Linked DNA regions of Mus musculus: region 2 is reported to be linked to region 1. The links are microRNA targets in miRTarBase. Many come from high-throughput screens and were not tested one by one. Region 1 holds a microRNA gene; the other region holds the end of a gene's coding sequence.

What was found. Region 1 holds the annotated microRNA mmu-miR-3065-5p (UCAACAAAAUCACUGAUGCUGG, at 2,220-2,241, opposite strand). A microRNA usually pairs through its seed, bases 2 to 8, with sites in the 3' UTR of a target mRNA and lowers its output. Matches are read on the target gene's strand: a 7mer-m8 pairs with bases 2 to 8, a 7mer-A1 pairs with bases 2 to 7 and ends in A, and an 8mer does both.
Region 2: miRTarBase lists Ercc6 as a target of mmu-miR-3065-5p. Seed matches in the 3' UTR shown: 7mer-m8 at 3,549-3,555 and 7mer-A1 at 832-838.

The regions. Positions count from the first base shown.
Region 1 is chr11:120,011,949-120,017,020 of GRCm38, reverse strand. It overlaps Mir3065 (microRNA 3065), which reads right to left and starts at 2,254; the gene lies at 2,168-2,254. Aatk (apoptosis-associated tyrosine kinase) reads left to right here. Exons shown (of 14, transcript NM_001198785.1): 4 at 214-293; 5 at 590-708; 6 at 828-915; 7 at 1,429-1,562; 8 at 3,287-3,371; 9 at 3,452-3,573; 10 at 4,149-4,298; 11 at 4,595-5,072. Mir338 (microRNA 338) reads left to right here and starts at 2,159; the gene lies at 2,159-2,256.
Region 2 is chr14:32,576,135-32,581,197 of GRCm38, reverse strand. It overlaps Ercc6 (excision repair cross-complementing rodent repair deficiency, complementation group 6), which reads right to left. Exons shown (of 21, transcript NM_001081221.2): 21 at 208-4,512. The coding sequence ends at 4,096. Among named protein-coding and RNA genes, the nearest start is that of Prrxl1, 21 kb to the left of the region's middle.

The DNA.
Region 1 (5,072 bases):
GGAGACTTGAGGTCCATAGCTCTGCTGACAGCAGCCACCCCAGAGCCTAAGAGACACTGGCCCTCGATGACAGCGCTCAAACCTGGCCTCCACTTTATTGAAGCTTCTTTGGCTGGGGAGCTTGGGAAAGCTCTCTGGGCTCTGGAGAGCGTGGTCGGGAAGATGGAGAGGGAGCGGTGGCTAAGCTGTGTCTGGATTTCTGTTCCACTCTAGTGCAACTTCTCAAGTCCACGGACCTGGGCCGGCACAGCCTCCTGTACTTAAAGGAGATTGGCCACGGCTGGTTTGGGAAGGTAAGCATGCCCCGGGGTGGCAGGAATGGCAAAGGGTGGACCCACTACTCCTGGGGATCCCCTAGGGAGGGGCTCTTTCTAACACCCGCCCCAGACTGGACCATGTACCTGATTCCTTTTTCCTCATTGTAGTCCCCAGGCAGTGAGAAAAGTAGGAGCCTTGTGGGTGGACTGGGGCTGAGGGTTCTAGCCAGAGCTTGGTGAGAAGTTGTATGACCATCTGAGGCCCTGGGCGCTAGATGGCTTTTCCTATGGAGACTGAAAGGGGACCTGGTGATGCCTGTCACATTTGGCAGGTGTTTTTGGGGGAGGTACACTCGGGCGTCAGTGGCACGCAGGTGGTGGTGAAGGAGCTGAAGGTGAGCGCCAGCGTGCAGGAGCAGATGCAGTTCCTGGAGGAGGCGCAGCCCTACAGGTGGGTGGTGTGGCGGGGGCGGGGTGGGGCCGGGCAGGGGAGCAGCACAGTGGGAGAAACTGAGGGCTATGGGACACCCTCTCCTGCCCTCCAACTTAAACACCCGTGGACTCTTCCAGGGCCCTGCAGCACAGCAACCTGCTCCAGTGCCTGGCCCAGTGTGCTGAAGTGACCCCCTACCTGCTGGTTATGGAGTTCTGTCCACTGGTAAGTGGTCCTCTCGGGGAGGTAGCTCTGTCTCTCCCGGTCCTGTTCTGTAGCTCATTGTTCCAAAGGGGAGTGGCTCCTCTCTTGCTCAGCCTCTTGGGGTCTTTTGTTATTTCTAAAGTAGAGTCCTGGTAGTCCTTGCTCTCCCTCAGAGGAGGTCTGCGGAGAGAAAGTGAGCCAGCAGCAGCAGGGGCAACACTGTGGGGTCTTGGATAGTTCAGCGAGAGGTGTCCTGGGACAGCCACAGGGCTCCCGAAGCTCCTGGGGCAGAGCCTGAGTTCTGGGTCTTCGTGTTGCCCCTTGGGCCCTTTACATGCACAGCTCTGGTGGCTGCTTATATGGAGGTCACTGTGCCAGAATTGAGACACAGGCTTTGCTGAAACAGCAGTGAACACTAGGGTTCACAGCTGATCCACAGGCCACCAGACCCAGGTTCTCTTGGTGTGGGTGGCAGACTTGTGATGGGCTGGTCGCTGCAGCTAGCAGGTGACTGTGTGCTCTCTCGTCCATCAGGGGGACCTCAAAGGTTATCTACGGAGCTGCCGGGTGACAGAGTCCATGGCGCCTGACCCACTTACCTTGCAGCGCATGGCGTGCGAGGTGGCGTGTGGCGTCTTGCATCTACATCGACACAACTATGTACACAGGTGAGGGCTAGCGAGACTAGCCAGGCTACAGCTACAAAGCCCCACTCCCCCAGGGCCTTAACCCTCACCATCACACGACCCTGTGCAGAAAAGTCACGGTGATCCCACGTTGTGGGCCTCATGAACTGGGTTCATCTAAAAATAGCCACTCTGCAGGGAACTTTATCATTCTTAGAACTGGGAAAACTAACTGGGCATGGTGGCTCACGCCTTTAATTGCAGCGCTTGGGAGGCAGAGGTAGGAGAATCTCTGTGAGTTCAAGTCCTGCTAGGTCTACCTAATGAACTCCAGAATAGCCAGGACTATGTAGCAGGACCATCTCAAAATGAAATAAATTGTGAAGACTTGGCATTTGAAACTCACCTTGCAGACAGTTAAATGAAGAAACCCATCCTGTCTACTAGAGCAGTCAGCCATACTTGGGCTCCATACCAACCCCAGCCTCTTTCCCTCAGGCCACAAAGGGAGTGGCTGGGCTGGCCCTGTAGTGGGAGGGGTGGCTCTCTCCTGCCTCTGGTGGCCAGGATGCCCAGCCTCCCATGAGCTGGGGGCACATGCTGGAAGAAGTGGCAACGGACAAGCGGCCCACCAGCTCCAACGCTGCACAGGCCGTCCTCCCCAACAATATCCTGGTGCTGAGTGGGTGCACAGTGACTCCAGCATCAGTGATTTTGTTGAAGAGGGCAGCTGCCAGCCTCCTGCCCTGCCTGCTGCCTAGCCCAGCTGCCCCACCCATAGGCATGGACCCAGGTCACCCCACCCTGTCCCCTGACACAGTCCTCCTGGGGTAGAGGCAGGCCAAGGTGGCCCCATCTACATCCAGAGATCTCTCAGCAGAACAGCCAGTATGGCAGATGAGGGTGCGTCCCGTGGCACTCTATTGTCCTGTACCCCAAACACCTGGGGGTGGGGCGCTATAGCCAAGCAAGAGTTATACAGAGCCTGGCATTCCAGGCTTCCCACTGAGTTGGTGATTTTTATCCTCCACACAAAGGGGCCTTTGTGGTCCATACTGTTCTAGACCTCGGCTCCAGCTTGTGTAGCAGGCCAGGCAGGGCTGCACTCTAGAACATGGGCTCTGACTGCTGGCAGGACCCTCTGAGACACTCCGGGCTTCGGTTTCTCCATCAGTTCTTACCTCCTGGGGACTGGGATGGTGGAGTGTAGTCGGAAGGGTGAGGGTCCTGAGAGGACACTGCAGACTCTCTGCTCCATGGCTTGTTGGCCCTTGTTGGGCAGATCAGACAGAGGGTGGAGCGGGTTAGGGCTCTGGTGCAGTTAGACAGCACTTTGCTGGGGGGGGGGGGTCGTCCTTGAGCATCTTTTGCCTGATTTTCACATGCATTGAAGTGCATTGAAAACCGGGCTTGGTGGCGCAAGCCTTTAATCCCAGCACTTGGGAGGCAGAGTCAGGAGGATTTCTGAGTTCGAGGCCAGCCTGGTCTACAAAATGAGTTCCAGGACAGCCAGGGCTACACAGAGAAACCCTGTCTGGAAAAAAAAGAAAAAAAAGAAGAAGAAGAAGTATTAGAAATGCATTGAAGTCCACACAGGTCTTCCAAAATAGCCAGTACAGGGTGTGGAGCCAGAACTTGGGCACAAGTGGGTGGCCCCTCAGACACCCCTTCCTGTCGGTCTGCCTGGCTGTGCCCGGGAGCCCAACCATTCCACCAGGGCTCACTCAGGCTGGCACACTCTGCTGACATTGCCTTCCACTCCGCAGTGACCTGGCCCTGAGGAACTGCCTGCTTACGGCTGACCTGACAGTGAAGGTTGGTGATTATGGCCTGTCGCATTGCAAATACAGGGTGAGTAAGGCCGTCAGGGCCCGTGTGCAGGGGCAGCTGCTGAGCGGAGCTCACTCCCATCCTGTCCCTGCGTGCTACAGGAAGACTATCTCGTGACCGCTGACCAGCTGTGGGTGCCGCTGCGCTGGATCGCGCCAGAGCTGGTGGACGAGGTTCACGGCAACCTGCTGGTGGTGGACCAGACCAAGAGCAGCAACGTGTGGTGAGCGCAGGCAGGGCTGCCGGGAGGGCCTTGGGATGCCGCCTCCCCAGATGGCGCTGGCGTCAGCTATTCTAGTGGGGATGCTGCCTTTCAGTTCTGCCCCCTGCTCCAGCATTTTGACTTCCTTCTCTGGCTAGGATTAGGGCTGCCACACAGGGAAAGTGTACTCATGCCTGCCACCTTGTGGCCATGAGAGGCACTTTACAGGCTACTTCGTTGATGATGGGTTCCTGAGGTTCCTATACTGGTGTGTGTGTGTGTGTGTGTGTGTGTGTGTGTGTGTGTGTGTGTGTAGGGGGGACTGCCTTGACAGTCAAGGGTATGGGGCCTTCAGGATAGGACCAACTGACACCCCCCCAATACTGGCACCATATTTTGGTTAAAAATCATCCTGAGATGCTGTTGAAGGCCACTTGTCCTTAAGGGATACAGGATTCTGCCTTGCATCTGTGCCTCTAGAGAGGGGCGGCTGTGGCGTAGTGAGGTCCAGTCCCAGAGAGGCTGACATGATGACAGGTGTTCAGGGATTCTGTGCAGTCATGCTCAGCCACGTGTCACTGTGGTTGCTCCCGCAGGTCCCTGGGTGTGACCATCTGGGAGCTTTTCGAGTTGGGTGCGCAGCCGTACCCCCAGCACTCGGACGGGCAGGTGCTGGCTTACGCCGTCCGGGAGCAGCAGCTTAAGTTGCCCAAGCCCCAGCTGCAGCTGGCTCTATCTGATCGATGGTGAGGACCCCACCCCCCTGGGCAGGCAGGCCAGAGGGGCACAGGGGGCTGAGCCCTACAGCCTGGGGCTGCTCGGTCCACCTCTACAGGGCTTCTGGGTCTCTGCAGCCTGAACTACCCTAATTCAGGGCCCTTCCCAGGCCTCTGGGCCTGCCTTGGGAGATTGCCTTGACTGCCCCTAGTGTTCCCAGGGTACTCTGAGCATGGGGGAACGGACTGTCCCCGGAGGGCAGGTTATACTCCGGCCAGCGTGCCTCTGGATATGGCCAGGGCCACCCATGAGGGCCTCCCGGCAGGTACGAGGTGATGCAGTTCTGCTGGCTGCAGCCAGAGCAGAGGCCCACAGCTGAAGAGGTTCATCTACTGCTGTCCTACTTGTGTGCTAAGGGCACCACAGAATTGGAGGAGGAGTTTGAGCGGCGCTGGCGCTCCCTGCGGCCCGGGGGCAGCACGGGCCTGGGCTCGGGTTCTGCAGCCCCAGCAGCTGCCACCGCCGCCTCCGCGGAGCTCACCGCTGCCTCGTCTTTCCCGCTGCTGGAGCGGTTCACCAGCGACGGCTTTCACGTGGACAGTGATGACGTGCTGACGGTCACGGAGACAAGCCACGGCCTCAACTTTGAATACAAGTGGGAGGCTGGCTGTGGCGCTGAGGAGTACCCACCCTCGGGGGCTGCATCAAGCCCAGGCTCGGCAGCGCGCCTGCAGGAGTTGTGCGCGCCTGACAGTTCACCGCCGGGTGTGGTGCCAGTCCTCAGTGCCCACAGCCCCTCAGTG
Region 2 (5,063 bases), not on the chromosome of region 1:
AAAGACAGTTTCCAAAGACACGTGGCTTTGTTTGGGAGGGACTTCTCTTCCGGTTTCCCGTCAGTGTTGACTTTTGGCTAATGAATCTGTACATCATCCCTGCCTCACCTGCAAACTGGTAGAAGCTTAAGAGAAGTTTTGATGTTGAAAGATTTGACTGTGTACTTCACCAAACTAGGGAAGGGTATTAAAGAGGAAAACTGTCGATAAAAGCAGGAGAAACATTTAATGAAATCCAGCAGTGGATTTAAAACTGGAAAGAATATTCCCTTAACCCAACTAAGCCATCTATTAGGAAACAGCAACTGTAGGTGTTAGAGCTTCTCCTCGATGGCAGGAAAGAGAGATGGCGAAGTACTATGCCACCTGTAATCATTTCTACTCCGTATCAGAGCGTGTGCATATTGGAACACGTGAAACACAATCGTTACTATTACAGCTGATCCAAGTATTATAGGACAATTTACAGATCAGAGTGCAAGTTCAGCAAAGTTGCTAGATGATACATATAACATCAGTTAGCAAAGCCAACGTAGAGAGAAGCAGGAGACGAGCCTGTATAAATGAGAACACGTGGGTTTTCAGAAGGTGTCCTTTACTACAGGTACAAAATCAAGGTTGGGACTAAGCGTAAGTTGTACATCAGACTCACTGTTCTCACCAAGATTTGATAGAATTGCTTGCATGATACACATTTTCTATCTATGCATACGTAAGTTGTCTATTACAAAATGCGAGATATAGCACAATTATTTCTTTATAAACATGTAATAAAAATACATAGCTATGGCTTATTCAGAGATGCACGGGACCCAGCATCATAAATAATCCTCAACAAGTCTGCTCATTCATTGTAGTCACAAAATCCCAATGTGACAAGATGATCTAATATATCCAAGATATAACAAAGATCCAAGAGTTGCTCTACAATTTTTGACAGTCAATTAGAAACCTACATGATTAAAAATGGTTTATTGGTAAAGATGAATGGACAAAGTTAACAAAATATAGAGTTCAGGCACATTTCCATGATTATATGGACATGGGACATAATGGTGGATTGGTGGCTTTATAAATGTATAAATCAGGAAGGAGAGAATGATCTACAGTTTTCAAATGTTAGGAAAATATCTATTTCTGTATAATTACATTTAGTCATTTACCTTATTGCTGACAAAATACCCAGACAAAAGAACCTAAGGAAAGAAGGGTTCATTTTTGGCTCACATTACAGGTGACACAGTCTGTCATAGCAGCCATCAGGAGGTCCAAAAGGGCATCATGAGCTAGGAACCACATGTTCAAAGACGTGAGTCTACAGGTGGGACACTTCCCATCCAAACCACATTGTAACTAACAAGGCCATTCACAAGATTGCATCATGACCATAGGATATTAAAAAACTGAATGTAGCAGCTTTGAATGTAAACGCTTCCAGTGATAAGCAACACAGAGGTGACACAGGAATGAGTCAAGCATCTCCACTTTTTTTTTTATGTGAAAGTAAAAGATCCTTTAAAATCCTAAACAAAAATTCTGTAAAACATCTAGAACGAAGCTAATATAAAACTGAACCCTTATGAGGAATGTTACCCAAGCAATAAAATTAGGCCTCTCATAATACTAATGGGAAAATTATATTAATTATAAAGAAGTCTATTATCTTCCAATTAATGGGCAAACTAATGCAATCCCGGCCAAAAGAGCAACACTTCAGTGGAATCTAATAAGCTAATTCTATCATTTGCTTGGAACAGGAAATGCACAAAAATAAGACACAGAGGACGAGATAAAAAGGAAAATGGACTTTCCCACAGGTGACAAACGTCAGCGTGCAGAGTGTGAGGGAACAGACAGACACGGGGTCTGACGTCAGCCTTGCAGTGCACTACGATGAGTCGAAGCTGGCATTTGGAGTGGTGGCGGATGATGGACTAGCCCAGAATGGCTTTTTGTTCTTGCCTCTTTCATAACTGTCTTTCATTTATACTGAGGAAACTAGGTGAATATGGTATTCTGTCTGGTGTTAAATCAGGGAAATTCAAATTAAAGTAAGGTTATTTTATGAAACAAGACTAATTTTAAAACAATGTACCAAGATGGAAACTAGTTGCTGTGGGCAAGCCTGAGGAAAGTGAGCCTGTGATGGGTTTGGAGATCAGCAGGTCAGCGAAAGCAGAGGTACATAAGTGAAAAGACCTGCATAGTGCGAACGTGAGATACACAGGAAACTTACAGCATTAGTGTGTTACATACATTACACCAATTAGATGTTAAAACAGTATTAAATAACACTTCATTTATTTCACTCCAAAGTATCTGGTCAAAGATAGCTGTTCTTGACTAGTAGACCATCCACCCTCTCCTGAAATGCCAGGAGACGCCTGAGGCTCTCACAGACATCCTGACCAGCAAGCCAGGGAACTTTCAGGGGCATGCACACCATGCCTCTGTGTAAGCTTCAAGCTAGAAGTCTTCCATCTCACTGCCTGGAACTGTCATGGGGCCACACCTGCAGGGAGGCTGAGAAACAATTTTCAGCTGGGCAGTCATGAGTCCAGGGGAAACACAGAGGAGGAGTAACCCATGCCAGGAGCCATGCCAATGCCTGGGCAACTGCACAGAGCTCTGGAATGCACAGGATAGGGAGGCAGGAGTGCTTGAAGGATTTCTAACAGTGACAATACAGGAAAAACCAGTATTTTTAAATCTTTTATTTGTAATTATTTAATATGTTTAATACATTAAATCTATTTATACCGCACAAAGTATTTAAAGTTCAAAGAAATCAGATTGCAGCTCAATGTATAAAGGTGTGTATTGTTAAAAAGTACTTTAACCTGGAGAACTGGTCTCTAAGCTTCTCCCAGCTTGGCTGGATAACCATGTTTACAGATTCAACCTTCCCAGGCTGGGCAGGTCAGTGGCAGAGGTGGAACACGGATCCCTTCCTGACCGCGTGGTAGGTAACTTTCGACAGTTAAAGACTGTCTATACAGCCGGGCGTGGTGGCGCACGCCTTTAGTCCCAGCACTCGGGAGGCAGAGGCAGGCGGATTTCTGAGTTTGAGGCCAGCCTGGTCTACAAAGTGAGTTCCAGGACAGCCTGGACTATACAGAGAAACCCTGTCTCGAAAAAAAAAAACAAAAAAAGTGTCTATACGACATTCTCTAGCTCAGTATAACTTAGATCTCAGACATCACAGGCACAGCACAAATGTTTCATGTTAGTGAGTCAGGTTGGTAGTCAGCCTAAGGACAAGGGCAATAGCATTTCCTGTAGGCTGATCACTGGAACAAAAAATAAATAAACGAACGGGTGTTGTGACTTCCTTCTGAGCCAAGTACTAAAGTTTAGAACTGACTGACCTATTTAAACAAACCCCATCCGCCATCTTTAGATAATGATGACAGAGAAGAAAAACCAGACTTCCTACTTTGACACGTATGTATGAACTGGGAAGGAACTTGGTGGTAAAGCACATACTGAGCATGTGCAAGGCACCAGAGTCTGTCTTCAGCAACATTTAAAACAAACAAACAAACAAACAACAAAACCCAAGCCTGCTAATCTAAAAGTGCTATGAAGAATTATTTATATGTAATTAATGATTTGACAGATAGCAAGTGTCTTTCTGTATGTAACCAGTGGGTCAGAAAACCCATGCTGTATCAAGGTACCAAGATTATCGGATACTGTGAAGTGACTTATAAGATGGGGTGGATAAAGAGAAGACATATGCCCAGCACCAGTAAGAAGAACCGAGATGTATTCTTAAATACTGTGTGCTCCCTGACAACATCTTTTGGGTTAAGTAACGTATTTGCTCCATTAAACAACTGTTAGGTCCCTGGTTTTATAACTTAATTCACAGTGCCACCAAACAAACAAAACAAAAACCCTCCAATTATTTTCTTCTTCAAGTTTTAGTCTTGAGGTAGATGACATAGTAAATACCAAGTACAGTCACTCATGCACACGCGCGCGCGCGCGCGCGCACACACACACACACACACACACACACACCCCACGAACACTAATCACAGGCTCGGGGAGCCAAGCTTTCCATCTGAAAGAGTTTAGAGAGCATCACTGTTAGCAGTATTCTGGCTTCAGCTTCCAAATCCCTTCCCCACCAGGAGTTCTATGGAAATTGCACAGATTTCTCAGCAGTTCTCGGAAGACACAGGACTGTGCCACGGACAGCTTGGACTCAAACTCCTGCAGGATTTCCTGAGTGCTGGCCTGGCCATCCACCTGGGCCTGGAAAGCAATGAAGTTCCTCATGTCCACCAGAAGGTCGTCGTGTTCGGTGCCGCAGGGAGGCACGGCAGCAGCCTCAGCAAGATGTTCACTGTCACTCTCTAAGCGCTCCGGCAAAATCATGTGGTTTCTTGCTCGCATTCTGGCCAAGAGGGAGGAGGAACTGGGCGCTCCAGACACAGATGCTCCATCTTCTTTGCCACTGAAGTGCTCAGGGGTGTGAGCTTTTCCCTCCTTTTTCATGTTGTTCTAGAGAAAGAAGACTACACGTCAACAGACAGACTTCCAGATTAGTCCACTACTTCCCCAAAGGCTGTGAGGACCCTCAGGATAACTGAACTGCCATGTGTATGGTGAGATGCGGGAGAGGGCATGGTCGCCATCCGAGGCCAAGGTAGAGATGTGGATGTGAATCTACCCATTTATAATGGGCACCTCCTAAAGAAATAAGCAGGGAGAAGAGAACGAAGCCGTCTCCTGGATCCGAGTATGAGAGCAGGGAGCAGAGGGAGACCGTGCCTGTAGGCAGTGCCTGGGCCACGGGATAAGGAGCAGCTGTCTCAGCCTTCTTCCTTTCCCACTCTGTATCACATGTGCTTCCTTAAACCAACAGACCTAACCTGGAAAGCACCTTAGACTCCTGCTGCTGAAAGCAGGAACTCGGCAGACTGGAAAGTGTCTGTTCTCAAAGGAGTTCACATGGAGCTAAAACTGGAGCCTTAACCTGGGTGTCTTCACGCGTGAGCTTTCACACATCCTTAGTCAGAAAGACAGAGTGCTGTTTGCCCAACACTCAAGAA